Linked DNA regions of Arabidopsis thaliana. The protein of the gene in region 1 interacts with the protein of each later gene in a pairwise test. Each region holds a gene or a part of one and is shown on either strand. Other genes may lie near its edges. The genes, in order: NAC3, AT3G48510, ZW9 and CRK28.

Region 1 (7,578 bases):
TTATAAAGCACTTTTGAATTTTATTTCGAAAATATATTTGGAGTCGAAATTTTTATAACAAAATATTATGCACTTATATACACAGTACCTGATAATCATCATCTCATTTTGTTCAGCCTTTTGAGTTTTTAGATTTATTTTTCATTAAAGTTGTAGTCAAGGAAAAAAAAAAGGTTATACTCAAGGATTTTTTTGTATCTATGTACGTTTATTTTTGTTTAAAATATAAGTTGTCAAAGAAAATAGTCTGATTTCTCAAGTCTCGGTCAGTACGAAAATAATCACGATCAAGATAATTTGCGTTCTTTAACAAAAATATAATTGGATACATATATAATTTGCGTTTCCAATACTCAGGCCCATTGTTAAAGAAATACATAGGCCTAACTGAATCCACTTTTTGCGTATGGCCCAACACATACTCAAGTCCTATATAAAACATTAATTACCATATGGACAAATTTTCATTTCTTTGAATAACACGTTAATTTAGATTTTGGTTTGGAATCTTCCAGTTATAAACTACCAAAAATCATAAATTATTGTATAAATCATTTGTTATTACGCGTAAGAACAAAATATAAACAAATGATTTATATTAATTTCATGTTTTGACTTTTTACAATAGATGCATGGCAAAAAATAAAGTACTAATATACATCACTAAACCCCATGCCATGCGTAATTGCGTACGCGCCTGTATTCGTTTACTGATTAATCACATATGGACGAATGAATGGTTATTTGTTTAGACTTTAGCGTACAATAACATCTTGATGAATATGGACCACAAGTATTTCTATGCAAAATGGTTACAAAGTATTAAACTCAAAACCTTCGTTTTCATGTATTTACGATAGAATATGCTATTCTAAGGGGTTGCGTAGAGCTTCGTCCAACAAAATTTACATGTAGAACATTAATATTTTCTTCTTTTTAAATTGAAATATTTTCACATCCAGCCACCTTAATTATCAAACTTTAAACGAAAATATATATTTAACAAACTCATTTCCATCTCTCGTTTTTCTGCGATTTTAAGATACAGAAAGAAAATTATAGTTTCGCAAGTTGTTTGAGTAGCCAAAAGTTTTTGTAAGAAGAAGACAGTGTTTTTATTTATTTTATTTTTGGATTATTTAAGAAGACAAAAGATTTCAATGTAAACAAAGAGAACAAAGAATTGGTTTGACAAAAGTAACTAACAATCGCCCAATGATTTCTCTTAATTCGATTATTAGGGTTTTAAGTGATTTAGAAAATAAATATAATAAGACGTAAGTTATAGCCAATTCTTTAAATTCCATAAACTCTTTAAATTTCAATGTAATGGATATTCATGTAGACTAGAAAGAAAAACTCCCTAGCTAATTTCGGTGTAAAAATTATTTTTCACAACATTTATCTAATTAGTTAATCAGATAAAATCTATTTAAATTTTGATTATGAAAATCTACTTATACGAACAAAAAGCGTAGATGTGTTTAAAACTTGTACGGTGTGAATTGTTACTATTTTAGGAAAGAAATGATTCTAAACTAGTCAAACAAGCAGCCCATGCTGACTCACACGTGCAATTTCAGGAAACCCCAAACGGTCCGTTCTCTGTTCTTATCTTCAAACCCCAATTGGTCTTTAAGATTTGGCCATCTAATACCATCACTATCCTTTTCCCATTAAACAATATAACATCTTTATCCATATCCTTTTAAATATATATATATCAATTTCTCTAACAAATTTTGAACGTTCTTTAAACAGCTGTACAATATTACTATTTCAAACCTTACGGCTTGCAAATGCCATTGCACATAAATGAATATATACACAACTATCGCGTGCGAAATTTCTTTATGCCACATGTGTTTATATAAATAGTATTTTTATATTTTACAAAAGTATACTAGTGCTATAGGCTAGAAATCATCTCAGATAAACATACATTTTTGGTCATGTTCGCTATGATATGGTTACCGTCATCAGCGAAAGATGATGACAAATCTATTGTTCGTTTTAGCTGGTACTAATATTAAACGATGAGCGATAGCGAGCAAAGTCATATTCGCTTTATGGTTCCTAGATTATCGATATATTATGGCGATTAATATAATAAATTATGAATCGCTGATTCGTTGTTAATGATAATACTACATGATGTTGACACAAAAATGTGTCATGAATGATAAGGAAACTTTCACATTTCTATCGTTTATCGTTAGCAATAGCAAGTACAAAACTTATAGATCCAATGCAATATCTGTTTTTCTAATAAATAATTGATCAATACAAAAGTTCCAGCTATAAAAGTTTACAAAAATGTAAATGTCAGGACAAATGACGACGAATATACAATACAAGTCGTAGAACCTAAATCTAACCCTAGAGTTCGAATTCTACGCTATATTAATTAACTAATCTGACACGGACAAAAAATAAAAATATGTTTTTCTTATTACGTTACCATTACACAATCAAATAAACCCGAACCCACTAGATTGTTGACCCGAGTACCCAAATCCGTTAACCGGGTCAACACTAAAACCCTGATTAGCCGAGACGTCCGAGTTATTATTAAACCGAGGAATCCCCTCAGTTTGTTGCTGCGTTCCACCGTCACCGTAACGAATACTCGGAACGTTATGACTCAGTCCGAGTTCCGGGACCGAGTTCTGTCCAATCAAATTCGCCCAATCAAAACTTGGCTCCCTGGCTAAACCCTGAAACCCGGTTTTATGATTGGTTAAAACCGGTCTATGACTATGAGGCAGCGCGTTTGATGAACCGGCGGCAAACCCCAAACTTCTGTTGTCAATCTCATGCAACGACTCGAGAACGTCGTCGTATTGATGAGACGAAGAAGATGTCGACGAACCATTGTTGCTGTATTCACGACCACTCGTCATTAGATTATTGTAAGCTTGTTTTTGTGCGCTTGTTTGCTTTTTGTATATTCGACATAAAACCCAATCATCAAGCTGAACATAAAAACAGTTTAAAATATGTTATTCGTTGAACAGTATAATTACAATTACTATATACTTATCTTTTTGGATACATCATGTATTTAACTAAATTTATACCTTGGTGCTTCCATTTCGACGAGAGGGTTCGATGAGACGGTACTCATGCATAATCCAATTGGTTTTGGTTCCTTTTGGAGCTTTTCCAATGTAAAACACCAAAGCTTTCTTGATACCAACTCTTCTTCCCTCCGTCGAGATAACTTTATCCGTACCGGTGGCTTTCCAATAACCCGACCCGGCAACCCGATTAGGTCTTGACCCGTTTGGATACTTCCTATCCCTCGGGCTGAAAAAATACCATTCTTTTTCACCGAATAACGCCTTACCTACAAAGAACCAAAAAGACAAGTTAGAAGAGAAAAAAACATAACTAGCTACAAAGAAACCAAACACGGTTAAGGTTATTAGGTTATACGTACTTGGTAAAACCCATGGATCAAACTTGTAGAGATCGATTTCAGCTATGAGCTGGAGAGAGAAGTCGTGACCGGCGGCTTTTCTACAGAGATATTCAACCATCAGCTCTTCGTCAGTCGGATAAAACCGAAAACCCGGCGGTAAGCTCAATTGGGCTAACGGGTCAAGCTCTTGGAGACCCATTTTTCCTATCACCTCTTTCTCTAGGACAAAGAAAATATCTGCACTTTTTATAGAAAACAATCACAAAACTATCTTCTTTGATTTTCTTTTTTGTATTCTGAGATTAAAGATTTCGAAGCTCTGCTACTCGTGTATGTATATATATAATATAATATTACACCGCCGCCCAATCTTCGTTAACGTGCAGCCTCAATACGGGTCCCACTTTATGTTTATCATGACACGTGGATCAATTAGAGCGTCGTGATTTATGCGATCCCTTTGGTTCTTTGAACCTATACCATAAAGTTGATTATTTATATTAGTAATGTTGTAATATTGTGTGTGTGACTGTACCTCCTCTTATGATTTTTTTTTTGTATTGTCAATGGTCTTCCCAAGTATTAGGGAGTTAACTGAAAGTAATTTGCGAATATTTGTAAGTTCAGAAAAACAAATTAGGTGATTCTTAAGACTAGTGATTTTTCATGCAATTTACGCGGTAAATTTCTATGAATGAGTTACATAACAGTGACAATCTACGAAAAGTATTATGAAAAATAAGAAGTATTTTTTTTTTAATGGGTATGTGCCAAATTGTTTTTTTTTGGTCGTCAAGAAGAAAAAACACGTGTAAGTGAATGATGGGATGAGTTCACTGGATGGTAACATGGAAAGCGTTTTTCATACGGATAGAACTACCACAAGCCGACACATGTCTTGTGTCTATTGGTTGAGTTAGGCGGGATATTTTTCTTTCGTCAAAAGCCGTTAAAGATCAGAGAGAGGGACAAACAACAAACACGAGTTGATGATGCAGACTCTCGTTATTTTTCTATTTGATCCATATGAGACTGTAATTTTTGATTGAAATCAGATGAAACTGTAATTGTGAAACGATAGTATACAATCAGAGGTACCAAGAAATTAGGCTTTTGTGGTTGAGAAATGGGAACACAAGATTTTCGTAAGTCCGTATAACACAAACACGCTTCTCTTCAAACACTTTTTTGTGTACGTGAAAAAGGAACATTTTACCAATTGAAAATAAAGTTCAATTACAATTTTCTTGCAAGTAGATTTATATTTAACCAATTTATGGCGGTTTATTGATTAACATATTTATTTAAGCATTCGAGAACGTACGTGATTTCAATCATGATTAACATAGTTGAGCTTTGATTCATGGTTCTCGATTTTTTTTTAAAATAGGTAAAACAGGAATCTTAGTTAGAAGTCAGATCGTTTATCAGCAAATTTATCGTAGATATATCATATATGTATGTAAGTTTAGGCTTTTTTTTTTTTTTTCTTATTCATTGAATTTTTTGGCTTTCTACTGATAGTTTTTTCTCGGTAAAAAGTTAATTAGCAAACTAGTAGCCCAAAAAATGAAAAATAAAGTTAATTAGCTAACTTTAATTGATATCTTGTGATCACATGTACATGGTGCTGTAAAAATAATTCTAAGCGAATATAACAAGGAATTTGGGGTTTCTTACACTCAATATCTTTCGTGTCACGGTGCATTTGGTGTTAATTCGTTTCTATTTATAATGGTTCTCTTCCATTAAAGATACATCAATTGGTATAGAACGGGGTGATCAAAGTTTTTTTAAAAGCTTTTGTTCTTCTCCTTTTCGGGATTTTTTTGTTAATGTTGGAAGATAATATCCACACACAGGTCTTTAGTTTTAGATAACTAATTAACATTATGCTATTTTAGCGATGTCATGCATATATCATAACGTGTATGTCATGCATATATCATAATTACATAACGTGTAACCCCGTAAATTTGGGTCAAAATACAAAAGTGTATTAAGAATTGATGACGTGGATATCAAGGTGGTATAAGTTTCAACTTTTGACATGTGAGTTTAGTTAATGGTTTGCTGAATAAACCATATGGCTAAACCAATAAACTTCCAATAATAATATGAATATCACACTTATTACAACTTAACCTCAATCTTCCTATATAAAATCAAAGTGCGCCAATGAAATTCGAACTCGAATGCTTTACATTGTAATGGTATAATTATTTTTCTACCATATATAAAATTTGATAATCTGGAGCACCATGAGCTCCCTCCACAAGCATAATCCAGTAAATAGTACAATATCCCCAATTGCTAAAAGTGTTGATCCATCAATTAATTAATAGAATCAGTCTTGCTTTACATAAAGCTTTATAATTACTATGTCTAAGCATGTTAATTTTGATATTACGTGTAGTCTTACGTATGTTTAAGACATATTTTTTTTTTAAGTTCAACCATTTTGTAAAACTTTTGTCATACACATGTATAATACATTTGCTACATATGTGGATTTTTCTTATTCAGAATATATATATTATGACAATAAATTACAACTATTTAGTTGTTTGTTAAAATACTAGCTAGTTAAATGAAATAATGTTTCCCTTTTTTATTAAATTAATTTTTCTTTTTTTATCGTAATTTAATATAATGATTTCTTTTTATTTTTTTCGATTCTAGAAACATATTTAATCAAACACTATAATAAGAATATTTCTAAACATTAAGCTACTGATAACAAAGAAAGTTTCGATTTAATATATATATATATATATAGAAAAGGTATAAATTTCGATAAGATCATATATAGTATACTAAACTCTGAAAAGCTGATAAATATTCTCTCCAACTTGTGCATATTATACGTCTTTTCATATTCTTAAAATAGAATAGAAACGAAAAAGGGGGAATCAAACAATGAAGATGACCATCGTAGATCAAACCCCCACTTCATCCAACTATATCTTATCTTACAAGTTTGATTTAAGTAGTTTGTATAGTTTTCTTTGGTATAAGAAAATATATTTTTAGTTAGTTATTAACGAATAATTGTAGGATAAATCATATTTAATCACTATTCACTACTTATGGCCAATTATATTTTTTTATTTGTTATTGACCTTTTTGTTTTCCGTTCCTGATAAGAGTATATGGATCGGATGATGTTGTTGCCAACATTTTTAACTTTTTTTATAAACGCTAAACATGAACAAAGTCGTTTAGTAGGTCTGTTATTGATATTGGTCTGTTTAGTGTTTAGGTATCGATATATTTCTACAGCCGATAAAGTATGTAGGATTTTTTAAGCCCAACAAAGTTTCAGGCCCACTAATTTTTATTGTTTGAAATAGGTTCATTTAAGCTTGTACCAGATACGGAGTCCTAAATCTCTTGAATTCATGCAATTCTGAACCGAAAACTACCCAATAATCTTCTAGATGTAGTATCATATGAACTAATTCAGTTGAGTATGTGATGAAATGAGAGCAAAAACGATTATATCTCAATCTCAACAAATACTGCATAGCCCATTCATAGTGTTATGTAAATAACTAAGTCGTCGCATGGAATTTTGGAGACCCACTAAATTTAGCGAGAGTACCATTTCCAAGCATCGAATTGTTTTACACACGACGGTGTTTCACATGTACCATTTTCACATTAGATAATTTTACTTTTAGCACGACGAAACAATTTATATTCGCTGATAAATAAGTCTCAAATCTGGTGTGAAAATATGAAATTCTTTGGTAACTGTTTCTTGAATCAATTTTTCACCCATATTTTTTTTTTTTTTTATATAAAAAATTGAAATAATCTACGGGTAAGAATACAAACCCAAAAAGATAAATTCTGTTACAAAATATTCCTTTGATATCTTTCACTTATATTGAACTAAATATTTTTATGTTTATATTTAATACTATAGATCATGATTCATTAAAAAAAAAAAAACTAAATTAGGATATTAGACTTTTATTGTGAGAAGTTACATATCATTAATGAACATAAATTTTCAAAAATCATATTTACAAAACTGAAAGCATTATAATGTTATGTGATGTTTTGGCATCATTGTTATAAAATTTGCATCAAGAGAGAAGTATTCTAGGAAGGCATAAATAAAATAATGATATTTATTGACATTAAAA
Region 2 (7,237 bases), about 13 Mb from region 1:
ATTTCCTTTAACCCACTGCTACGGAAATATTCTCGTTTGTATTTGTTTATTTTTAATAGATTTCCACTTCACACTGTCTTGGTAACTCCGATTGTCGTCACAGTTCCATTTTAAGGCTTTGCACTTTGTAATTGACACATTGTTGTATGAATCTTTTATACTGATAGTGGTTAATAACTCAATACTCTCCTGTTGTCTTGTGCAGCACCACAATAAACTAATGATGGAAGCTAAAGCAAGAGGAGAAGGATACAAAATTGACAAGCTCAGACGAAATATAGAGATGGACGAGTATGATTTCTTACACTGGCGCCGATCTTTGGAGGAAAGAGAAGCATTGCTCAGAGATATCAGCTCGTAAGTAAAAAAAAGTTCACTTTGATGTTTTTCAAAGAAAGTGTTTAGATGAAGAAGATTTATTTTGCAGTCGGCAAGCACTTGGTTTACCATTGGAGGAACCAGGGAGGTACAAGCCAGGAAGCTTCTTTGGGAAAGACCAGTACGATCCAACAAGTGCATTATATCAGTATGACTACTGGGGAGAGCCAAAGAACTCAGAGATTAGCAAGCAAGAGAGAATGAAGGATGCACACAACAAATCCATTGTTGGGAAAGGCAATGTGTGGTATGACATGTCTTACGATGATGCGATTAAGCAGACAATAGAGAAAAGAAAAGAAGGGTCTACCTTGGCGAGTCAAGAAGAAGAAACAGAGTCAGAGGAAGAAGAAGAGGATGACGATGATTTTGACGATTTTGACTATAGCATTCTGAGTGATGAGAGCAGTATCGGTTACTCGGAACAGCAACCTCTTGTTAACGGTACTCAAGTCTTGACAGACTGATGTTTAAAAGGAAAGTAAAAATAAGAAATTGTCGAGGTTGATTTATTTGAATTTTTGTCTGTTAGGTTTGATCTATTTGATAGTTTTTTTTTTTCATTTCTTCTTATCCCGGAGATAGTAAAATCAGTTTCTTATTAACTTAGCCAGACGTTTGGGATCTTGTAGTACACCGTTGAACGTTAGGAACGTGACGTTTTTTGTTTTTTCTATCAATCGTCGTCAGAGAAGGTAGTCTTGACACCGCAAAATACGCCTAAATGTTTCTCTTGTTTCTTCTGTTTGGGCTCCAAAACATCAACTTCTATCAAAAGGCTTTCTCGTTCGTACCTGGAATATCAAAAACCCTTGTCATCTCTCCGTGTATACCAAAAACTTCACACCATGTGTGCTCTTTGATGACAAAACTCTTAAGGCAAACTCTTACCAAAGCTACTCTGCAAGGTTGTACCTAATTCACAAAAATAATAGCATTAAACTTGTACAATGACATCAAAACTCTAAAGCAATAAGTTAGAGAACCAAATCTCCATAACATGGAAAATCAGTTTACTTGGGTCGGAGAGGGTATGGAGCTATCTCAGCTACGGAGAAGATGAAAACAGAGACGGTTTATTAGCCTGGAAGAGTTCGTTGAGAGCAGCAAAAGAAGTTATAAATATAAACCTTGAAGAGGAAGAGAGCGAGAGAAAAGAGGTGCTCCGAGTTGTATATGCTCGTTAAGGGTTTTCGCTCTTCTTTGTGGGCCTTAAAAGGCTAATAAGCTTCGGCCCAATTTTATTATTCTGTTTAAATCGTCCGTTGACTTGTTTTATTTTATACAACCAAAAACAATCTTCATACATATTGTTTACGGTTTAAGGATGGTGTTTGCAACGTCTCAGTACTCCGCTTCTGATCAGTTAGGTCATTAACAATAGTAACGGAAGATTAAGTAATACTAAAAGATTCTAACAAACAATTTACAAAAGAAAAGTCTCCTTAAAATTCTTAACTAAATTATTATACAATTTATGTCCAATGTAGGTAGACTTGTATTGCTATTTAAAACTCTTAATTTATTTATGTTTTGATTAATTTGATTATATATAACGAAAAATAAATTCAAAAAGATTCTAAAAAACAATTTATAAAAGAAAAGTCCCCGGCTAAACACTATTCATTTGACCCTTAAAAACTCGATTATAGTATCATACAATGTCTTTGATTTTAGTCTTGTAGCGCTATTTCTTATCCGGAGATGGTAAAATCAGTTTCTCATTAACTTAACGATTTGGAATTTGGTACACACCGTTGATTTGAATGTTTTGAATCTGACGTCTTCTTCTTTTTTTGTCAAAAAATGGAACTGATGTTTAAGTTCCAAAAACACAGCTACACATAGTTAAACATTGGTCCATGTGGCATTTCTATTATGGCATAGATGATATATAGATGTCCCACGTATCATTAGATATCGCACTTTTACCGCAGGTAGACTGTAGTACATTCAAAGCTGTAGTACAACATTTATTCCTCACCCTCCTTTTTTGTTTTCTTTTGCTCCGACGTATCACGTTTATTGGGTCGTTTACTTTCTTATATTCCTTGTTTCCTCAAAACGTGAGTGCCGACAAAAGAAAAGAAAATATCAAAATCAAAATGTGATGAGTTCGACTGAAATATCTCTTCAAGTGAGTAACTAGCTCAAAGTAAGACCGGTTCGCTCACACTTTTTTGTAGCAATCAAGATGGTATGTTTCACATTTTTTGGACCATTTTGGAATTTGCATGTTTGGACGATCACTCGGACCGTAATTTCCAACCGTCCTTGCCGTGAAATCTCACAACATGCGTCCAATATAGGTGGGAACCGCACCGACGATACGCATTAAATACTTACAAAATTTTCCTTCATTAATTATTTTTAAGCAACAAGCTTGAAATTTAGCATCACAAATGCGTCAAGAACAAACAAAAGAAAGATGCATTTTTTACAAAAATTCTTAAATAAAAAACTATTTAAAAAACAACCAAAAACAAAGAAGGCATAAGAACAAAAACGACATAAATATATGTTAAACCATTAGAAATCTAATTAGTTCTGAATCCATATTTTATCATTGGAGGACATATCATGTGTAATGTTCGTGCCCATAGTGACTAAAGTTGATCTAACGGTGTCAAAGGCACAAAGCGGCCTTAACGTCGAGCCTCCAAGCAAAACCACCACCGACGTCCATTCTCCACACGTCGCAAGGCACCGTGACTGAGCCTCTCTCACGATTTTGACACGTGTACTGGAGTTTCATTCTGCATGTGAATCCAGGGGACGTTAGCATCGGCCTCTCCCTCATCACCAACCGTACGATCACGTGAAAACTATCGCCGCTAGTTATCTCCGGTGCACCTTCTTCCACGGGAATAATATCCCTAGCCATCTTCCGATACGCGTCATTAGTCCACGTGACTCTCCCTGAACCGTCGGATATGAAACCAGGACACGTGTCTCTCACAAGATTCATCTTCCTTTCTTCATCTGACCTCCCTAAACCGTAACCGTCAATCCAAGCGTCCGTTACACGCTCCACCGTCATACACGACGAAATCACCACCGTCCTCTGCACAATCTCCGGTGTCTGATAAGCCGGTGTGAGCATCCCTCCGCCGTCTTTGAAACTCAACCATAACGGACCCTGCCGCTTCTGCTTCTCCACCGCCGCCTTAAGATCTATAGGTTTCTCCGGTAATAGAGAAAGAGTCACCGCATTAGCACTGCCGTGAACGACGGGTTTATCCGACGTCTTCCGCCGGGTGCACCTCTTGGCGTTACCACCATTCTCCTTCAGCTGATGACATTTCCTCTTTCTTCTACTAGCTGATCTAAAGGAAACGTCGGAGCTTCCGCCGCCGCTATCTCCGCTGGATACGGGATTTACTCCGCCGGGGCTGGCCGGTTTAGGAGCAATGGGACGAAATCGAAGCATGATGCGATCTGCTTTGGAAAGATCGTACGGTCCAGAGCCAATGGCGTACCTAGCTATGCAACACCCTCCCCTACCGTCCATTTTTTCTCGCTATCTATATCACTCTTGATATTTTTGTGTAAAGAATGTTTGAGAATTAGGTAAAAGCTTTACTTGAGCTGAGGAATACACTGAACAGAAATGGTAAGGGTTTTATAACGTCTGTGATCTGGACACGTGTTGGAGTCTATACTAGTTGTGACATGGACACGTGTCTTTGCCTGCACGCTTGTGGTTGTGTTGGGTCTAGAAGACAGTAGTAAAGGGTTTGGGTTGCACATGGAAAGTTATTCTCTCTTTTTGTTTTTTTGCCTAAGTTATTCTCCCAACTCTAACCATTAATTTTACCGTTCAGTAAAAAGAACTGTAACTTTATATATTAGTGTAGGAGAAAAAAAAGTTTGGTCTATGCTATGACAGGAGTGATAGTTCTTGTTGCAAGAAGAAAACATAGTTCTTGTTGAAGATTATGTATTTTGGGTCGAGTTTTTTTTTTGGTTAACTTCACATAAATCTATGCATATAATCTTTTTGATTATTTTTACCACTAACCCTCAACTCATTGCTTCGTTTTGGGGCAACGTCAAAAAAATGTTAGGCAAAAAGATAAAAAGGTATAATTTGGTTAAAATTAGTGACAACATCCCTATACAATTGTGAACGAACTAATAAGATTCTTGGACTTTCGTATATTTCCCAACCACACTCTTAAAACTAATCCATATACTATAAATTTAAGAATAACACAGTTTTTTTATTTAAGTTTTTTTTTTGTTATTTGCCAATCAAGTACTAATACAACCATATATAGAGTGGATCACTGGTCAGTAATTAGTTCCAAAATTTGCAAATTAATCTCCACTTACGAAGCGATTTACTGATGTAACAATAGTGAAGAGATGGCAAAATCAAGTTAAAATATCTGACAACAAAAATGGTTTTTATACGCACGAGTCACACGACTCAAAAGGTGATGAGTCGATCGATTATAATTATAATCATTGACCAAGTCTAAATTTAAAGCGAATGGCATCTTAATTAAATTTAAAGTGATTGTGACAAATTAGATCTGAAAGGGGACAAGATGATCTCATGCGTAAATGAACTTAAAGATTTGGTGACAAAAATAAAGATTAGTGCCAATGGAGTTAGGTAATCGTTATTGAAATATCAAGAAGGAATATTGATTAATCAAATATACTCCTATTGTACCTATCTATAGTAAATGATTATAACAAGTATAATCATCTATATCTGGTTTATAGGTGTTTCCTTAATTTAGCTATTAATATTAGAGGAATTCTTATGGACAAAACTTGGATACATTCATAATACATATATAAATTTTACTTGAGCTTCTGCTTCGAGATCTTCTTTTGAGGATAGACATATTCAAACAATAACGGATTTGACAAATAACAGTTATAGTTTGACCAGTAAATGAGTTTAATGGCTATTAGCGACTTGATATATATGTTTTACGAGTTCGAATCTAATTTTTGCAAATGGGAACAAAGAAAAAATTTAGGCCAGTGGACCTATGCCAAACAAAGAGTTTGATTGTGTAACTTTGTTTTCTCAAGAGATGGTAATTAGTTTCAATCTTCTATATGCGTCAGATACATATTACTGTCCAAACCATTTTAAATTTCTGATGAGCTAAAAACATTCTCAAAAAGACATTATTCAATCTGTTTGAAGTCTATTTTTTTGGGTAGAATAATAAACATCTCATAAGAGTTCAAACCAAAATCTTAGTCTCCAAAGATTTTTTGTTATCCGTCGGCTTAGTTTCTAGGATTATCTTGTTAATCGCCAGCTTTAGCTTTGTAAAACTCTATCTATAATCTATCTTTCAGTGAAAAAAACGAAAAAAAGGAGTTCAAACCAAAATCATATGCACCAACAGTTTAGTCTAAAATAATTTGGATGTTAAGTAATATTTAGATAATACGATTGACTGTATTATAGAATAACGGAATTGTATTAAATAAATTTTATGTAGAATGAAAAATAAAAAATCATTAAAAAAAATTAATTTCTATATGTCATAAAAAAGGTTCATTTAATCCCTTGGTTTATGAATGATAAAATGAGTGAATATAAACCAGTCAGAATTTATAGTTTTGGTTCGTAATATTTGTTGTCGTTTCATAACTTAGGTTCAAATCTGAGAGTGAGTTAATAAACAAAATTCCCAAATCTTAAACTTAGACTAGAGTTCTAACCAAACAAATCTTGTAAAAAACTATTTAATCTTAGATTTGGGATAGTAGTGTTCGAAGGTGCGAGGGAATCTAGAAAGTATTACGAGTGGTCCGTGTTGTGAACTTTGCATGAGAACACGCAAAAGGACACGTTAAGACAATTCATTAGCTTATGTTTATAATAATCTTTTTTTTTTTTTTTGCTAAGAATATGTTTATAATAATCATCACATAAACTATTAGTAGTTAACTTTATTTGTTTATTTAATCAAATGAAATTAACCAAAACCAGTTATACTAAGCATAAAGTACTCATCACTTTTTTATATGTTTTAAGTACAGCACATTTATCGCTGGAAGTGTTTTCACTCTAGAACCACAATCTTTTTTTCGACTAAGACATCAGTAGTCAAATATTCAAATCTAATTTGGTATAAGTCATTATAATTATGATTATGTTAGCATGTTTTCTTATAAATATCAGGTTTTAGAGTTGGTAACTCCGTCCACACTTTGGTTTTCCAATTTTTCTTGAAGTTTTTGAAATCTTGTTAGTTTGTGAACTACAAAACTCGGAAAAACAAAATTAAATATCATTAGGTTTAATATGGTTAGCTAGAATGATCTTAATTGTTTTTTTCAGTGGAGTTTTGGAATCAACATTTGGAATTGTAGTTCAAAAAGATTTTAATATCTTTAAAAAATAAAATAATAATATCATTTCGTACGGTTTAATATGTGGAATTAACATTTCATTCAAATATGAGTCGTGGACCATATATATTTGCATTCACGATCAATAGTTGCATTGCTTCTGCTTTGAGATAAACAGCATGGACTGATCAAGATGACTTCTTATTGGAAATGGTATGTGTTTTCAACATCACTAGATTTGTTTTTGGGTATCCAATGTTTTCTTTTTTCCGTTTACAACTATTTTTTCAGTCTAGTTTAGCAAAAAAAACTATTTTTCAGTTTTCATGTTTATAATAATTTAATTAGTAAATTGTTTGGATCATATAGTGTTAGACTTAGAAGTTTAATTTTTTCTTTGTACGTCTTGATTTTTTGGACTGATTAGCCATTTCAAATATATAATATAATTACTATGTTTGGGAAGAAAAAGAAAAAAAGTGATTCATTGATTGGTGGGCAAGGCTTGGTAGTTACTTGTATAAAATAT
Region 3 (8,311 bases), on another chromosome or scaffold:
AATTCAGATCAAGAATTTTTAGAAAATGTTTGGGTGACAAATCATCAAGTGATATAATCTTGTTAAGTACTATTTATGTTTTTTAAGGGAATTTTGCCAATTGTGCCATATTTGTATAAATATTTTGTCGGCAATGCTATTTTTTATATCTTTAAAATTGTGCAATGAGTCAGCTTTTGACAAAGGAGAAGATGTCTAAACTACCTTTAATTGGTTATGGAGGGAAACAAAACATTTCGCCCAATGAGGCTGACACCTCTGCCAAAAGCAGTTGACGTCTAGATAAGATGATGGTGTGGCGTGGCACATTAAATGTGGACAGAAAGAAAGTTATGATGGTTGTTATACAATAAAAATGGTTGCTTTTAATACAATAATAATTTATCACTTGATGATTTGTCACCCAAACATGTAGGAGTCGACGAGAAACGAAGAAAGATGGATGTAGATAATGTATCGGAGAAGGGATGATGGACAACAATACTGTAGTTGTAGCAGTCGACGAGAAACGAAGTAAACAAAATACAGATGTCCACGAAGATGGAACCGTGGACAAGTTTTTAGTAGCAGTTCATGTTCCTAGTATATCTAACAAATCTTCAAAAGTACAGTAGTTGAAGCCGAGGACGGGAACATAAATGAAAAGTGAACAAAAAGTTTAAGCGCAGTAGACAACTGTACAACTACAAGCAATAGAGAGGAATCGATGTAGATAATGTTTATGGAGAAGAACAACATTGTAGTAATTGTATTAGTGGACGAAAAACGAAGTGAAAAGAATAATCAATTACTAAGGACAAAACTACAATTATTGAAGCCGTAGACGATCGACTAAACGATTAAGAAGTGGACAATTATAAAAGGAAATGTGAATGGATTACGTACCCAATCTTTAAATCCAAAAAAAAAAAAAAACATCCTAGGGACTGCCTCTTTCATCCTATCCAATTTGGTATTCAATATGTGAAATCAGATTGATCAAGTTTGACATAGGAAAGCTCGAACTCATTATTATTGAACAGAAACAAAAAACACAATGAAGCAAAGTGATAGTAGCCAGTTGTAAAATTACACTAGCGACGATTAGTCACCTAAGTACTATCTCCCGTTAAAACATTAAGAGACGATTGATGAGAGTAGTAGTCGGTTTTCGAGAAGGACAAGATCTGGACTTCAAGTTTGAGAGTATCGTTGACTAGGAAACCTTTTGATGTGTTTTTGATATCTGCAAATGATAGAAACCTGTCGAAACCCCATCCATTCTCCGTTGCATTGGGCCATGCCGCCACTGTGTATATAGGAAGAAATCAAAAGTTATTTTTATTTTTTAAAGGCTCATTAATTATAATTAATTAGCTTTAAATTAGTAGTAGTAGTTGACAAAGTAGATATCAAACCTTTTTTCTCGAAATTGTTGGATTGGATCTGGTCAATAACTCGTAACTTAGCTTCCACATAACCCTTATCATTTGACTGATCACTCAACAAATAGAGTGACAACGAATTACCCGTAGCATTTCCAACTCCATTTGGATACACTTTCAATGCCCTTCAATGTAAAAAACCATCATATTATTAAACTAACACATCTTGTACGTATTGTTATATATATACAAGAGGAAGAAAGTCACACGTACCAGTTTCTTCCTCCGGAAGAAAAGGAATCAGAAGTGTAAGAGTCAAGAAAACGTGTAGAGAATTTGGTGAGTCTCCATTCGAAAATAGGGTCACGAATGTTTTGTTCATTAGAGAACACTTCCCAATTTTCAAAGGGTTTAACAATGTTGATGTCAACGCCAAACACAACGCTTTCGCCCTCGAAAAAGTATCCATATGCCGGATTTTCAAAATAGTAAATTGGTAGAAATTGTAAAAGTCCCCACTGTTGTTTAAACAAATGAAATCGCTGGGCCTCAGTCTCTGCAAACGGATCAAACTTAAATAACTAGTCTGAACAAACCACAAAAGATTTAAACATATATATTTACTTGCTCTAGATTAGTTAATTAGTACCCTGGCTTATTTGGTACTTGTCTGTACTGCTTTTATAAGCGAGGAATGTGATCTCTGCATACACATCTTTTGGATTGGTGATGAGGCTTGAGTTATCGACTCTTACGTAAATCGAAACGTACCCACCCGAGTCCGTTGGAATGTATATGACTGGGTAGATTAGGAGCGTCCTTATAACATTTTAAGTAGAAATATGTCAAATTATATACAAATTAAAATTTGGGTGAGATTCAGAGCAATAAGTTAAAATCTTTCACATAGAAAGTGGAGATGATCAAAACACTAGTATATAAATGAATACCCTTTGACAAAAAAAAATGTATATCTTCTATGTATAAGGTATGGTTTCTCAACATTTTTGAAATGGAAGTCAACGCGTACGTACCAATTGTATCCACCGACGGAGAAAGGACGTGACTCATACTTGCCACCGTTTTCTTTGACCTGCTTTGCCATAGTGACAAAAGACTGGAACTTCACGCAGTACGAATTTGGAGGACGAGTTCTCGTATCTGTTGTTACTGCTTGCGAGAGCTTCTGTTCATCATGAGCACGAACAGAGGCAGAGCTAGGTTTTGACGAGCCACACGGAAGATTCCCTGAGTTCCCCACCGCCATGAAACCTTCTTCTACTACTGCTTCCGTCTCAATTAGGTTTTGAAGGTTGATATAAGGTTTTGCGAATCTTGCAACCTCCACAATGAGTACGAAACAGAAGAAGCAGTAGACAAAGATTGAACCATAATTTCTGCTTTTCTTTTCCTCTGAATACATTATTTCTTTTTCTATATTTTGTGTTTGTAATAATGTCTTGTTTTATGTACGTATATATAGGCATAATGATAATATGTGTCACGAGATTCACGTTTATTAGTGATTAGTTCTCAGTAATACACCAATCTCATGAGATCGTTAGTTCTCAGTAATACACCAATCTCATGAGATCGTGACACGTAGGTATTCACTAATTAATTAGCACGTTCTACGACATATTGTTTTGTTGGGATATACGTGTCTCACAAAATAGTAATTGTTTTCTGCTGCATCATTATTTTAACTTATAAGTACAAGAGCAAGTCATAGTGGACAACTTCGTGTTACGCACGTCTCAAAGCAGCTTAAAAAACCCATTGATGAGATCTCGATTCGTACCAACTACCAGACACGATTCATACTCATTAATGTTACTAGAGATTTGATTTTTCAACAAAACAAAAAAATAATAGATATTATCTGAATTTAACAGATTATAGTTTTTTTTTCCTTTATTTCACTATCAGTCTCTGTGTACACTATGGTTGTTATTTTTTATTGAATGAACGTGAAACACCATTTTCAAGTTCATCGACAGAGAGATTCGGAACAAGACAAAGGAAGCATTTCGGAAACCACATACAACTTTGGATTAGATGAATTCACTGTTGTGTCTTCTTTGTTTATTTGTTACCTTTGTCTTTATTCTTTTTTGGCAACGCTTCTCCCGGGCCGGCTCTGAAAGAAGCAACATGAAACATTTGTATGTTGTCTCCATTTTTAAAAACTTTTTTTTACAGCAAACCTGATTTATAAATAGGCTTCCAAATATATTTAGTTCTAAGAAAAATATATCCAAATTTCAAAACAGTTTATAATAACCCCAAATATATAATTTGTTACTTTGGCCCCCAAATTTTGACCGGTCATAGGTCTCTCAACCCCTATATACATTATACATCATGTAATTCCAAAACTATTATATATATATATACACACTATTTCATTAATATTTACATTTATATATAATAATAATAATAAAAACCATGACAAAGCATCAACCCTTACCATATCCATAAAATATATTACTCTTGCGATTACCTAATGACATCTATATGACCCTATCGATTTAATTGCCAGCGCGGTATAACAGTGACACCAATAATTCACACTACCAATTCAAAATCAATTCCCGATAAATAAATAATTGAAACCAAAATATTTCAATACTAGATTTTAACCCGCGGTACACCGCGGGGACAATTTATATTTTAAAGTTAATATATATAAAATTTTGCAAATTGTATCTATCTATAAAATATTTTTATTTTATAATTTACAATTGTTATTAAGTAACGTTCTGCCAAACCCGTCACGCCAAACCCGTCCCGTAAAAAAACCATTATTTTATTAATGTTAATCTTATTTATGATATGTTTATGAATTATTGTCTAAATATTTTAGTCGATGTGGGACGTTGAACTCAAACATTTTTCGCCAATTGGTTAATATATGTTTATTTTTAAAATTTCGAATCACAAATTATGGCGGAAAGAATAGAGATTTTTTTAAACTTTATATATTATATAATGATGTTAAAAAATTATGATATATTAAACTTTTTATAATTTTAAATATTAATAATGTTTTATAAATTTAAAATATTTAAATAATTATATTTATTTATTTTATATTTTGAGCCTTTAAGGTAATGACATAATAACTCTAAAAGCAAGGATTTAGAAGATTTAAATCTTTAATTAAATATTTTCATTCCTAAATAATTAATGTCAGTGTCATGAGATTGTAAATAAGTTCAAATACATGATTTATTTATTTAAACAAAAAATGTTTAGTAAGAATAATATTTGTTTTAACAAAAAACTTTGTTTTAAAATATTGTTAACAAATATGTTTATGCTAATTTTAAGGGTTAAATTTGATTGATAATGTGGTTGACAATTTAAATCAAGTAAAATTAATTATTTTGGAGAAAAGATTTAATGCTAATGGCATTGAGTTGTAAATAAGTCCAAATTCAGGATTTATTTGTTAAAATGGCTGCAAAAATGTATATGTAGATTTTTTGAAAGAAGTGATTGAAAGAATATTTGCTGCAATGAAAGACTACCAAATCGACAATAAGAACAGGTAGCATTAGGCATGATTCATCAGGAGCAAATTTTTGCTTTACAAAAACTAAAATCTCTAAAGCAAAACTCAAACAAGAAAGAAGTTAAAACCCAAAAAAAAGGGGAAGTAAACCTGGTACTAAAATATATTAAAATGGAACATAATAATTTTTTTAAAAAAGACTCATAAACTCTAAAACTGCAACTCACAATTTAGGGATTAATTATGGGATTGACACAATTAAGTTTATATCTTTATGAAAACAGACATATCTCATATGCCTTATAGATTTAAGTATTTTTCTATGCAAGTATTTTACGAGTTTACCCTTACCACTGAACCTACAATGGTGATTGAGCTCCTGCAACAACAACGATTTTGACAACGGTAAGAAGCAACGGCGGTGACTCATGAATCATGTCTCGTGATGAAAAAGACGGCAAGATCTCGACCTCCAATTAGCGTTGGCGACGATGGTGAGTTTCAACGACGATGGTGAGTTGAGCGATAGTGAGAAGCGAAGGTGATAGTTTGGATCTCTAGAATTACTTTTCCAAATCCTCTGTTATTAGTTGGTGACGATGATGATGAACTCTATTGACAATAAAAATCAAATTTGGTTTAGAATTAATAATGAATTGGAGTGTTTAAGATTAGAACCCAAGGGTTCCCTAGATAGTATCCCTTTAGGGTTTAGATTTCTTCAATCAAAAATCATTTATTTTGATTGATTGGGTTAATCAGAATAGACATGTTGGCTGGAAAATTTTGTTGAAGACGATGGTGTTGTTAATAACACTATGAATCGTCAAAATCGATGTCTGGACAATGGTGTTGAAGACGATGGTGTTGAAGACGAAGGGCAAAAGCGTCATATTTGTTGCAAACATATGCCCAAACCTATAAGCCCATTCTAAATGTTCCTTTTTTCTAATTATTGGGCCAAAATGTTCCTATTTTTACAAAAGCCCCCACAATTCAATCCAAGAAAACTCCCACATACCTTCCCATCAAAGTAGTAGACGCCGGAGCTGCACAAAGAGGAAAGTCAATTTTTTCATATCCAAACAAAGTATCAGTGTTCAATTTATACCTAACAGTTTTCTCTTTACTAATATATATCTAACGTTTTAAATAATTTAAGTTCCAATACATGAATTTATCCAATCATGCAAAATCATACATCATTGATGACATGAATGTCATGTCCTTGATAACGTTGGTGACGTGGATGTCACGGTTTTGATGACATTGTTACCACGTCATCATCTTGTTAATAATAATAAAAATTCTTATTCTTTCCATCACTGTTGTCCGACAGAATTATGAAAATAATATTCTTTTTGATGAAAGGATTTAAAATCTTATTTTCGAGATTTATAACCAATATTTCAACCAAATATAATATTTAAACCAAGTTTGGAAATCTAAAATTCACCTCTTCTTCTAAAAATCTTTGATCCACAGCCTTGAGAACCAACATCCAAACAAAATCCAAGGATCGGCTGATCCACAGAATGCCCAAACCCGAGCTCCAAAACAAATATCAAAGTGCCACACTATTTAACTGACCAAGGCAAGAGGAAAAAACCTGAAACTCCGACAAGGTGATACTCTAGTAAGACTAACATCTAGAAAATGGAGCCGTTCGAAAACCTAGCTTCATCCATCTATAAACAAAAGGTTGACCATCTTTCTTAAGATAAGAACTGAATATCAATCCTAATGCATCGTATTGAGACCAATCCGGCCCTACTCCAAAACATGCACAGAGGAAGGCTAGTAGATACCTCTTCACCTAATACCATCTCATAAACGCATCCTAATAACGAACATGGGAACAAACCCTCAACAATTCTTCTGATCAATCCACTCCGACTGAACTGATAAACACACCCAAGAACATGATAACAAAAAAGCTAACTCCAAGACAGAGGTATGTATAAGTATCGTAACAAATATGCATTTAAACAAAAAAAAATATATATATATATATAACAAACTGCATAATAAATGCAATATTAACTATATCAATGCACCAAAAAATAAATGCAATGGTTATTCTATTTACTATAAATTTCTTTTTACATCTTTTTAATTTAGTGTAACTTAAGAATTTGAAAGATTTTAACCTTTTTTCTCACTCCTTTTTCATTTGAATTTTCTATAATTACTTTTTGATTTTTTGAATTTTGATCTATTTGTTTGTTCTTCTCTAGTGAAGATAGAGACTCTACGACCACTAGTTAATGACAACAACCAAACCAAACCATACCATATGAGCTTTGTTGCCTCATATCCAGCTACCTATATAGCAACTAGTCGTAACAATTAGATATCAAAATTTTTAATCAGCGATTTTCCGAGCAATTCGTTTTAAAATATTGATTAAAAATTATAAAGTGCAGAAATGAAAATTATGATCCTTGATGTGGTATAGAACAACATAATAAATTAATTGTGATTAATTTCTCGTCTCTTATGTTGCAACTTAAGTCATTCTGCTTCCCGTATGTTGCTACTTTCCTTTTTGTCACTTCGTATTAATTAAACAATGATTGCGAGAGATGGATGTTTGCATTGGAGAGTGAATCATGGATAGCTTCAAACAATGTCATTTATAGAGCCCAAGAAGATTCTTCTTTGTGATAATTGCGATCAATTATGCACAATCATGAGGCCATATGAGGTGTAAGCTTTGTGTTATTTGTAAGAGACTCTCTCGTAAATTTCAAAACCGGAGCCTCTTGTTTCAATTTACTACCGGCTCCTCCTTTTGCGATATGGCAGCCGAGAGAAGTCTCTTCCCCATGAACTATTGTTGGCATAATCAAGCTCCACGAATTTTTCAGGGTCATATGCATTCACCTTTACGTTCGTAATGAGCAGGGTCATATGCAATCACCTTTATATCAAACTTGCTGACAAAACCCGACCCTAATAGCTTGCTATGACGAGGACGTGATGTTTTGCTACATTTTCTATAGATGTTACAACACTTGTGTTTTAACCAATCATTCCCTCAAGGTCATACCGTTTTCATCTCACAAAGTGATAGTTAGTGTTTTATTATCATATTGTCAGTTTTTATTATGATTGACCAAGAACATCTGAACATGTAGCCTCATGCTTGTTGGGGTCTAGATCGTGTGCCTATTCAAGCTGATGGTGATGGAGGGACATGGTAGAGAACGGCGTCATAGAGGAAGACGTTCTCGTGTGGTGAGATATCTCGTTCATAGTCATTTTGTTTTAAGGTTCTCCCAAATCTTAAAACGTTTTACTCAACATTTACAACCACATGTCGAGCTAGACTTATAACTACGCCTTGGAGCTGGTCCTCCTTGCCAGCCTTACCAAGCTGGAGGTTAACATTGCTGGAATCAACAATAGCTTTTATTTAGTGGCGGGG
Region 4 (8,593 bases), on another chromosome or scaffold:
AAAGATAAAGTGAGGTTTTGCGGAAGAATCTCATTTTCTTGGGGTTTAGTGTTGGAGAAGAAGACACAAGTGAGGATCTTCGTAATAAAGGATTGGTTTTTGAGGTTTGCTTAAAGATGAAAGAAGAGAAACAGAGGAACTGTGTCTGTCACAATGGCGGAAACTTCCTATTGATAAAAAAGTAAGAGGAGAGGTGACAAAGGAGAAGGGATACAAAAAGGAAAGGTTGCTGTTTTATTGCTGTTGAGAAGTTTCTATATTTTTGTCTCGTCAGGTTGGAAAGTTGGACCAGAGAATTGAAATAAAAAGGTCAAACTGTTTGAATTATTATCATCTTTATAAGGTATTATTATTATTGTCTTTTAATTCTTTTTTGTCATCTACTTTTTTTGTTCTTTTTCAAGATTATACAACCTGCATAGAAATATGTGATTGGTGGCTGACCTAATTGTTTTGAAACTTTTTCTTACATCTCTAAGAGGATTTTGGACGGTGTCAGTTGACACATGATGGATTAGATACTTTAGCGGTTCAATTTTTATTAAGAAAGAAAGTTAGGTTTTCAAGTTACATGATTTAGTAAAAATTATATTACAATTATATAGTTTCCATTGATTAGAAACGTATATTAATACAATGACTTAGGACGATCCAACCATTCATATCTTGTATGGACTACTTCTGACGTCCTTAGTTCATAGTCAATGTTTAAGAGTGATGAGGATTTATCAAATGGTTGATGATAATAAGAACAATGAGAAGGTAATAGTATATTCCTATTGTATAAGGCCATCGAAGAAAATGTATAAGCTATAGGTGTGGTTACCAAATTTGAAAATAAATAAGTATGTCAGGCAATTAGTGGAGCAGTTGGCTTTGTATACTAGTTTAGTGGAATATTTGCTTAGTTATATAATACTTAGATTAGATATGCTTGTTGCCTTTGGCCGCCACATTGACTCATATGGTCAAAGTATCGCACACTTGATTTGGATGGGTCTTCTCTTTATTTTATTGCACGTGACATATTTTACGTATCTTGATATTTCAAATTGTATTCCTTCAAAGTTTAAATGTTGTTTGCTCGCCTAAAATCCCATAATAACCCTACAATTATTTAGTAATCTTTTTTTTGCATGACGCTTAAGTATTTATATCTAATATCGATGCAGCCAAACCTCAAGTGGATTGCACTAGCAAGTGGCACTAAAGCATATATTGATACTCATACAATGCCAGATCGATTCTGGAGTTTACATTATTGATTCATTTGGTGGATTAGTTGATTACAAGTGAAAATTTACAAATGTATTAGTTTAACTGAGAGAATGTGGCTACTAGGCAACAAAACCTAATAAAGAAACAAACACCCATCTCCATCTAAAAATGCTCCAAGGGTCCACAATGCTTAGTCATGAATTCTATAGCTACATTATTAGGAGTTAAGATAAAGAAAACTGTATTTAACATTGATTTGTTGCTTTTGAAAAGACCAATGTGTATGCATTTCATGTGTAGGATAAAGTAGAAAGCTTTTCTTAGTAAAAGTCTAATACTATTTTCATTTTCTTAAGTTAAATTTCATGTTATATGTTTTAAAACACAGTAAAATCGAATTTGCAAAACAAATCTACCATTAACGACGAATGTGTAGAACTAAAAGAAAAAGCTATAACTTCTACTCGTTTCAAAAGCTAGATGAAGCCAAGCTGTCTAAAAAATCACACAAACAAAATCCATCATTGAAGAAACTAAAAAGATATGCAGATTAAGCTTCCTAACGAGGAGATAACTCAGAAACAGTGACATCATTCAAGGACATTAATAACGGTTCTGTGGAAGAAGAAACATTCATCGAAGGCATGACACTCTCTAACGCAAAGGCGGGCCTTGAAGGCGTTGGGAGAGTATAGGAATAGCTATTGAGCATTAGAGCAACCGAATCCATAGTTGGTCTACTCGCTGGACTTTCTTGAACACATAAAAGACCAATGTGTATGCATCTCAAGATCTCGCTTCTTGATCCCGTGGTTAGACTCGGATCAATAACGCTTAGTATAATGTCTTCTCTCCAACATCTCCACACCTGAGAAACAAACAGAATTACAAATTCAGTTAACATGATGAATCAAACTCAAACCTCAATTACCTGGTTGGTTTTGTGTACTTACCCAACTAAGGAGATTTTCTGCCTCTTCGTCATCATTTGATCGACCATTATTGTTTCCCTTACCCGTAATGATCTCTATGACTAATACACCGAAGCTGAAAACGTCTGTTTTCACCGAGAATTGACCGTAAATAGCGTATTCTGGAGCCATATACCCGCTACAAGATGAATAACGGGTTTATACCGGTGTTTCTTGGTTAATGAGTTAGTAAGATGAAGTAACTTACTAAGTTCCTGCAATTTTGCTTGTAAATCGATGTGTCGAAGTTTGGTCTGTGTCATAGAGTTTAGCTAATCCAAAATCTGCGATTTTCGGATTCATTTCTTGGTCCAAAAGAATGTTGCTAGCTTTAAGATCACGGTGAATTATCCGGTAACGAGAGTCTTCATGAAGATAAAGAAGTCCTCTAGCAACTCCACCTATCATTTTGTATCGCACTCCCCAATCCAAAAGTTGACGCTTTTTAAGATCTGTAACAGCGTAAAGATCAACACAGAGCAGAAAAAACAGAACGGTAGGATCATCATATGGAGAAAACGGCGGAAAACAATTACCGAAGATGAAATTGTCAAGACTAGCGTTCTTGATGAACTCATAGACAAGGATTCGTTCTTGTCCTTCTATGCAAAAACCTAATAGCCTAACCAAGTTCCTATGTTGAAGCTTTGCAAGAAGTAAAATTTCGTTCTTGAATTCACTGTCTCCTTGTCCTGAAGTACACGATAATCTTTTCACCGCGATTTCTTGCCCACCCGAGAACACACCCTAAGAAATGCATCATCCTTAGCTTATAAATCTAACCAAGGGAAACCAAAGTTACCGTTAAGAAGTTTTCTCAAAGAAACATACCTTATAAACTGAGCCAAACCCACCACGTCCAAGTTCATTTTCTGGTGAAAAGTTATCTGTTGCTGCCTTTAGAGTTTCAAAGTCAACTACCAACGAATCTGAGAACTCATCCTCTGCATTTGATCCTGACAATGAACATAGTTCTCAGGATAAATAGTTTATACTTTGTAACAAGATAACGATAACCAAAAGAAGAAGGTTGTGTTTGTTACCTTTGACTCTACCTACAGACTTGTTCTTCTTCCACTTCAAGAGCAAGCATAGGCAAATTGCAAATAACGCAACAAAAACTATTGGGATGACTATCGCAACAATGACTTTAGATCCACCTTTGCCCTTTCCTGAAATGAAACATTCAATCTTAGAGACAACTGCTGCAACAGTACAAATTCAAATATTTCTATGCACCTGTTCTCTCAGTTCTTGCAGCTGATGTTGGGGAGTCAGCAGGCTGAATAGCAGGTGGATCAGGCTCTAGATCGGCATCGAACTCGTAGAATCGCCAGGTCTCAAATCTGTAGCTACAACTAGGAAAAAACCACCTAAGACCAACCTGACCAGCACAACAACCTGGGATCTTTTCAAAACCAAAGACTAGACAGTCATTACAATCCTGTTCAGACAAATCCGGCGTACAGTGTGCACTTCCGTAGAATTGCGGGTACCCTGCCACACCCGAACCGCTCCCTTGAGCGTATTTTCTATTTGGCCCACCAGCTGCAGCAATCCCTTTGAGTCTGTCCAATAGTTCTATCTGCAGACGATCAAACTCATCTCTGTTTGCTGATATATTTTTACCGGCTTGAAAAGACAGAGTTGGGGTCGTCTCTTTTCTTCCATAGATTATCATGTTCGAGTAACGAAACATACAGTGTGTGTACCACACAACAGCTTGATTTGTCAGTGGACACTGCTCGATGAGGTTTCTTGCAGCTATCTGAATGCAGCTGAGACAATCATCTCTTTTTACTTCTCTTCTACAAAGACCAATTGCATAAGCTCTTTCTCCAGATGAATCTCCAGAAGAGAGGTTGTAGAAGCCATAAGGTTTGGATGTGAGTGACGAGAGAGAGGAGACAAGGCCGTTGAGATTACCAGCGAAAGAGCTGTTGGCCGTGAAATTGCCTCCACTAGCTACACAGTTGAAACCTGGAGGAAACTCATATTTATCCTTCTGTGCTAAGCAGATAAATGGTACAATCTTTAGGACACAAGCAAAGAAGAAAAAGATAACTCTGACATGTTCCATGGACGCTTGAAGCTTTTTTCTTCTTCTGTAATCTATATGAGAAAACCCCAGAATGTAATAACGAGTCTAAAAATGGAAGAAGTCAATCTAACTTGACCTTGGAATTATTCAAAAGCAGTATGGTCTTTGAACTAAATCAATATCCAACAGCAGAAAGAACAAAACTTGTTGATCAATAACAATTATAAAACCCAGTAGCAAACACAAGTGGAGTCTTTATGAGGTTGTGGGGGTCCATGATGGTAGTAGATTCAAAGACTCACAATATGAAACTAACGACTTGGTGTGAAAACGTTATTTAAATTAGAAGTGTTCATTGCTCACTTCTTTCCCCACAAGTACCAGGAAAGAAAACTAAAGAGTTTGAATACTTTTCAAACCTACTAGAAAATATAAGACTAACTAGGAACCATCTAATTTCGTCTAAGCCATTTATTTTACAATTTCTTTTACTTCTGTAGATGATTAGTGGATCATCTTTCAACTCTCATATTTATATATGTGGACTCAATATAAATCTCTTATCCAATTTTCTAAACTTACTGACATATATATATACTTCTATCAAATTGTACCTTAAAACGAAATCAAGTAACGATAAACTGGAAGAAAAAAAATGAGACAAAGGAAAAAGTATCTCACAGCTTCACATTCATGTTTTATTCACAACAAGATCAAGCCAGGCTGCCTGAAAAATCACACAAACAAAACCCATTTCAAAGGTTTTCAGAGAAGAATCAAAACATTTACAGATTAACGAGGAGAAAACTCAGAAACAGTAACATCATTTGACGACATTTGTAACCCTTCCGTTGAAGAAGAAACATTTGAAGGTATGACGACACTCTCCAACACAAACGCAGGCCTCAAAGGCGTCGGGAGGGTAAAAGAATAGCTATTGAGCATGAGAGAAACCGTAGCCATTGTTGGTCTAGTCGCTGCACTTTCTTGCACACATAAAAGACCAATGTGTATGCATCTCAAGATCTCATTTCTTGATCCTGCGGTTAAACTCGGATCGATCACGCTTAGTATAGTGTCTTCTCTCCAGCTTCTCCACACCTGAAAAGAAAAACAGAATCACAAATTTTATCAACAAGATGACCAAAACTGAAACCCCATTTACTAGCTTGGTTTTGGATACTGTACTTACCCAACTAAGAAGATCTTCTGCATCTTCGTCACCATTCGATCCACCATTGTTGTTTCTTTTACCTGTAATGATCTCAATGACTAATACACCGAAGCTGAAAACATCTGTTTTCACAGAGAATTGTCCATGCATTGCGTATTCCGGAGCCATATATCCGCTTAAAATTGAAATGATAACTGGTTTATACTGGTGTTTCCTGGATTTATAAGTTAGTTAAATGAATTTACTTACTAAGTTCCTGCAATCCTGCTTGTGAATCGATGTGTCATGGTTTGGCCTGAGTCAAAGAGTTTAGCTAATCCAAAATCTGCGATTTTCGGATTCATTTCTTGGTCCAAAAGAATGTTGCTAGCTTTAAGATCACGATGAATTATCCGGAAACGAGAGTCTTCATGAAGATAAAGGAGTCCTCTAGCAATTCCTCCGATCATTTTGTACCGCACTACCCAATCCAAAAGTTGACGCTTCTCAGTATCTGCAACGGCGCAATGGTCAATGCAGAGCGGAAGAAGAATGGTAGGATCAGATCGAGTAAAAGCCGGAAAAAGATTTACCGAAGATAAATTGGTCAAGACTAGCGTTCTTGATGAACTCATAGACAAGGAGTCTTTCTTCTCCTTGTATGCAGAAACCTATAAGCCTGACCAAGTTCCTATGTTGAAGCTTTGCAAGTAGTAATATTTCGTTCTTGAACTCGTTGTCTCCTTGTCCAGAATTACCCGATAATCTCTTCACCGCGATTTCTTGCCCCTGAGGGAACACACCCTGAGATACATAATCCCAAGTTTATAAATCTCTCAAATAAATAAACCAAAGTTACCGGTAAGAAGTTTGTTCGAAGAAGCTTACCTTATAAACTGAACCAAACCCACCACGTCCAAGTTCGTTTTCTGAAGAAAAGTTATCTGTTGCTGTCTTTAGAGTCTCAAAATGAACTAAGAGTGATTCTGTGTTCGAGAACTCATCCTCGGCAATTGAACCCGACAAAGGTGATTTCCCAAGAACTGAATACGCAGATAGTATTTATCAGAACTAATAGTTAATCCATTAGTAACAAGATAACGATAACACGAAGAAGAACACTGTGTTACCTTTGTTTTTATATCCAGACTTGTTCTTCCTCCACTTCAAGACCAAGCATAGGCAAATTGCGAGTAACGCAACAAGAAGTATCGGGATGACTATCGCGATAATGACTTTAGATCCACCTTTGCCCTTTCCTGCAATAAAACATTCACTATCTTAATCTTAGAAACAAAAACATATTCTGCTAGGGACAACATCTGCAGTAGCACACACGAGAGAAACATTCAAACATTTCTATGTACCTGTCCTCTCAGTTCTTGCAGCTGATTGTGGTGAATCAGCAGGCTGAATTGCAGGTGGATCTGGCTCTAGGTCGGCATCAAACTCGTAGAATCTCCACGTCTCAAACCGGAAGTTACAACTAGGAGAAAACCACCGAAGACCAATCTCAGCATCACAACAACTCGGAATATTCTCAAACCCAAAAACTAAACAATCATTACAATCCTGTTCAGACAAATCTGGCGTACATTGCACAGTTCCATAGAATCTCCGGTACCCAGCCGAAGCTGAACCGTTTCCTTGAGCGTATTTCCTATTAGGCCCACCAGCAGCCGCAATTCCTTTGAGTCTGTCCAATAGTCCTCTCTGCAGACGCTCAAAGTCATCTCTGTTTGCTGATATCTCTTCACCAGCAATAAAAGCCTTAGTCGGGTTCGTTTCTTTTCTTCCGTAGATTGTCCTGTTTGAGTAACGAAACATACAGTGCGTGTACCATACAACAGCTTGTTTTGTCAGCGGACACTGCTTGGTGAGGTTTCTTGCAGCTGTCTGAATACAGCTGACACAATCATCTCTTTTGACTTCTCTTCTACACAGACCAATTGCATAAGCTCTTTCTCCAGATGAGTCTCCAGAAGAGAGGTTGTAGAAGCCATAAGCTTGGGATTTGAGTGAGGAGAGGGAGGAGACAAGGCGGTTGAGATTCCCGGCAAAAGTGCTGTTCGCCGTGAAGTTGCCACGATCAACACAGTTGAAATCTGGATCAAACTCATAGGAATCTACCTGAGCAAAGGCATGAAATGGAGCAAGCGTTAGGAAACAAGCAAAGAAGAAGATAACTCTGACATGTTCCATGAAAGCTTGAAGCTTTTTTTCTCTAATCTATGAGAAACCCACCAGTGTGTAATGAGTCTTTATATGGTAAATGTCGACCTAATTTGACCTTAAAAAAAAGCCGTGTGTTCTTTAAACTAGCTCACAGCCGAAAGAACACAAGTTGCTGATCAAAAACAATTATAAATTTCAGTAACAGACAGACACAAGTGGACAGCCATTGTAAGCTTGTTGGGTCCTGCATGATGATATATAAAAATTTCAATATAAAAATTTAGGAGTTGGTGCAACGAATCAGGTCAACGGTGTGTGAAATAAGAAGTTATAAGTTACAAGAAAACATTTAAAATAAGTTTATATTTCTCACTTCTTTTCTCTCCAGGACCAATAAGAACTCAAAGTCTGAAACTTTAACCAACTAGAAACTAAAACTAATCTTCCATTAATGGGAAATAAACTACTTAAGGACATCCTAGAGACTCCTTTTTTTTTTCACATCCCTCCTGCTGTATTTGAATTTATACTTATGAGGTGCGGATTGTGGAAGATCTTTATGTCTTGGATCTTACTCGCTGAATGAGACCTCAAATCTGAATGCTTTGTTAATGCATCAAAGAAATGCAATTGGAACTTTACTAGCTACCTCTTCAATCGAGAAACCTGCAATTTGCAAACCAGAAACCAAGAAAAAATGTTATTTTTTTCAGCACAGAAAACATAACTCCTGCATGTACTATAATGAAGAAAATTCATACTTTTTCACAATCCTTTGCTTGGAAATAACAGCAAAGTAATGAAGTTCCCGTGATGAGTCAATTCGACGCCTTTGCTTATCGCCGTGGTTCCAGAGGTGCGTAACAGAGCAGCTGGTTTGGATAGCTCCATCAATCCCGGACATTGATAGGCCAAGAGCTCCGGGAGTTTGTACGGATTATAAAGATCCAATCAGCGAAGATCAATACGACCGTCGTTTGAACCAACGACGGCGGATTAAGCTGAGGGATAGAGTGAGGACGGTTCCACTTTATG

The links.
Region 2: the proteins of NAC3 (region 1) and AT3G48510 interact in a two-hybrid assay, tested with the Arabidopsis thaliana proteins (one large-scale study listed by BioGRID).
Region 3: the proteins of NAC3 (region 1) and ZW9 interact in a two-hybrid assay, tested with the Arabidopsis thaliana proteins (one large-scale study listed by BioGRID).
Region 4: the proteins of NAC3 (region 1) and CRK28 interact in a two-hybrid assay, tested with the Arabidopsis thaliana proteins (one large-scale study listed by BioGRID).

The regions. Positions count from the first base shown.
Region 1 is NC_003074.8:5,230,776-5,238,353, reverse strand, and holds NAC3 (NAC domain containing protein 3), read right to left. Parts: upstream 3,898-7,578; 5' UTR 3,624-3,897; coding exon 3,443-3,623; intron 3,350-3,442; coding exon 3,081-3,349; intron 2,976-3,080; coding exon 2,472-2,975; 3' UTR 2,158-2,471; downstream 1-2,157. UniProt on the Arabidopsis thaliana protein: Transcription factors that bind specifically to the 5'-CATGTG-3' motif.
Region 2 is NC_003074.8:17,964,564-17,971,800, forward strand, and holds AT3G48510 (AtIII18x5-like protein), read right to left. Parts: upstream 4,028-7,237; 5' UTR 3,890-4,027; coding exon 3,005-3,889; 3' UTR 2,791-3,004; downstream 1-2,790. Other genes in the region: PDE312 (Nucleic acid-binding, OB-fold-like protein), read left to right, coding at 206-357, 428-845.
Region 3 is NC_003070.9:21,611,303-21,619,613, forward strand, and holds ZW9 (TRAF-like family protein), read right to left. Parts: upstream 2,868-8,311; 5' UTR 2,788-2,867; coding exon 2,399-2,787; intron 2,184-2,398; coding exon 2,014-2,183; intron 1,921-2,013; coding exon 1,638-1,920; intron 1,550-1,637; coding exon 1,398-1,549; intron 1,289-1,397; coding exon 1,092-1,288; 3' UTR 501-1,091; downstream 1-500. Other genes in the region: AT1G58265 (Cytochrome P450 superfamily protein), read left to right, coding at 1-86.
Region 4 is NC_003075.7:11,397,441-11,406,033, forward strand, and holds CRK28 (cysteine-rich RLK (RECEPTOR-like protein kinase) 28), read right to left. Parts: upstream 4,270-8,593; coding exon 3,429-4,269; intron 3,362-3,428; coding exon 3,185-3,361; intron 3,146-3,184; coding exon of another isoform or gene 3,134-3,145; coding exon 3,021-3,133; intron 2,937-3,020; coding exon 2,726-2,936; coding exon of another isoform or gene 2,642-2,725; coding exon 2,398-2,641; coding exon of another isoform or gene 2,397-2,397; exon of another isoform or gene 2,329-2,396; coding exon 2,172-2,328; intron 2,087-2,171; coding exon 1,778-2,086; downstream 1-1,777. Other genes in the region: B120 (S-locus lectin protein kinase family protein), read right to left, coding at 1-34; CRK29 (cysteine-rich RLK (RECEPTOR-like protein kinase) 29), read right to left, coding at 5,023-5,331, 5,423-5,579, 5,654-5,897, 5,977-6,187, 6,272-6,426, 6,514-6,642, 6,751-7,585.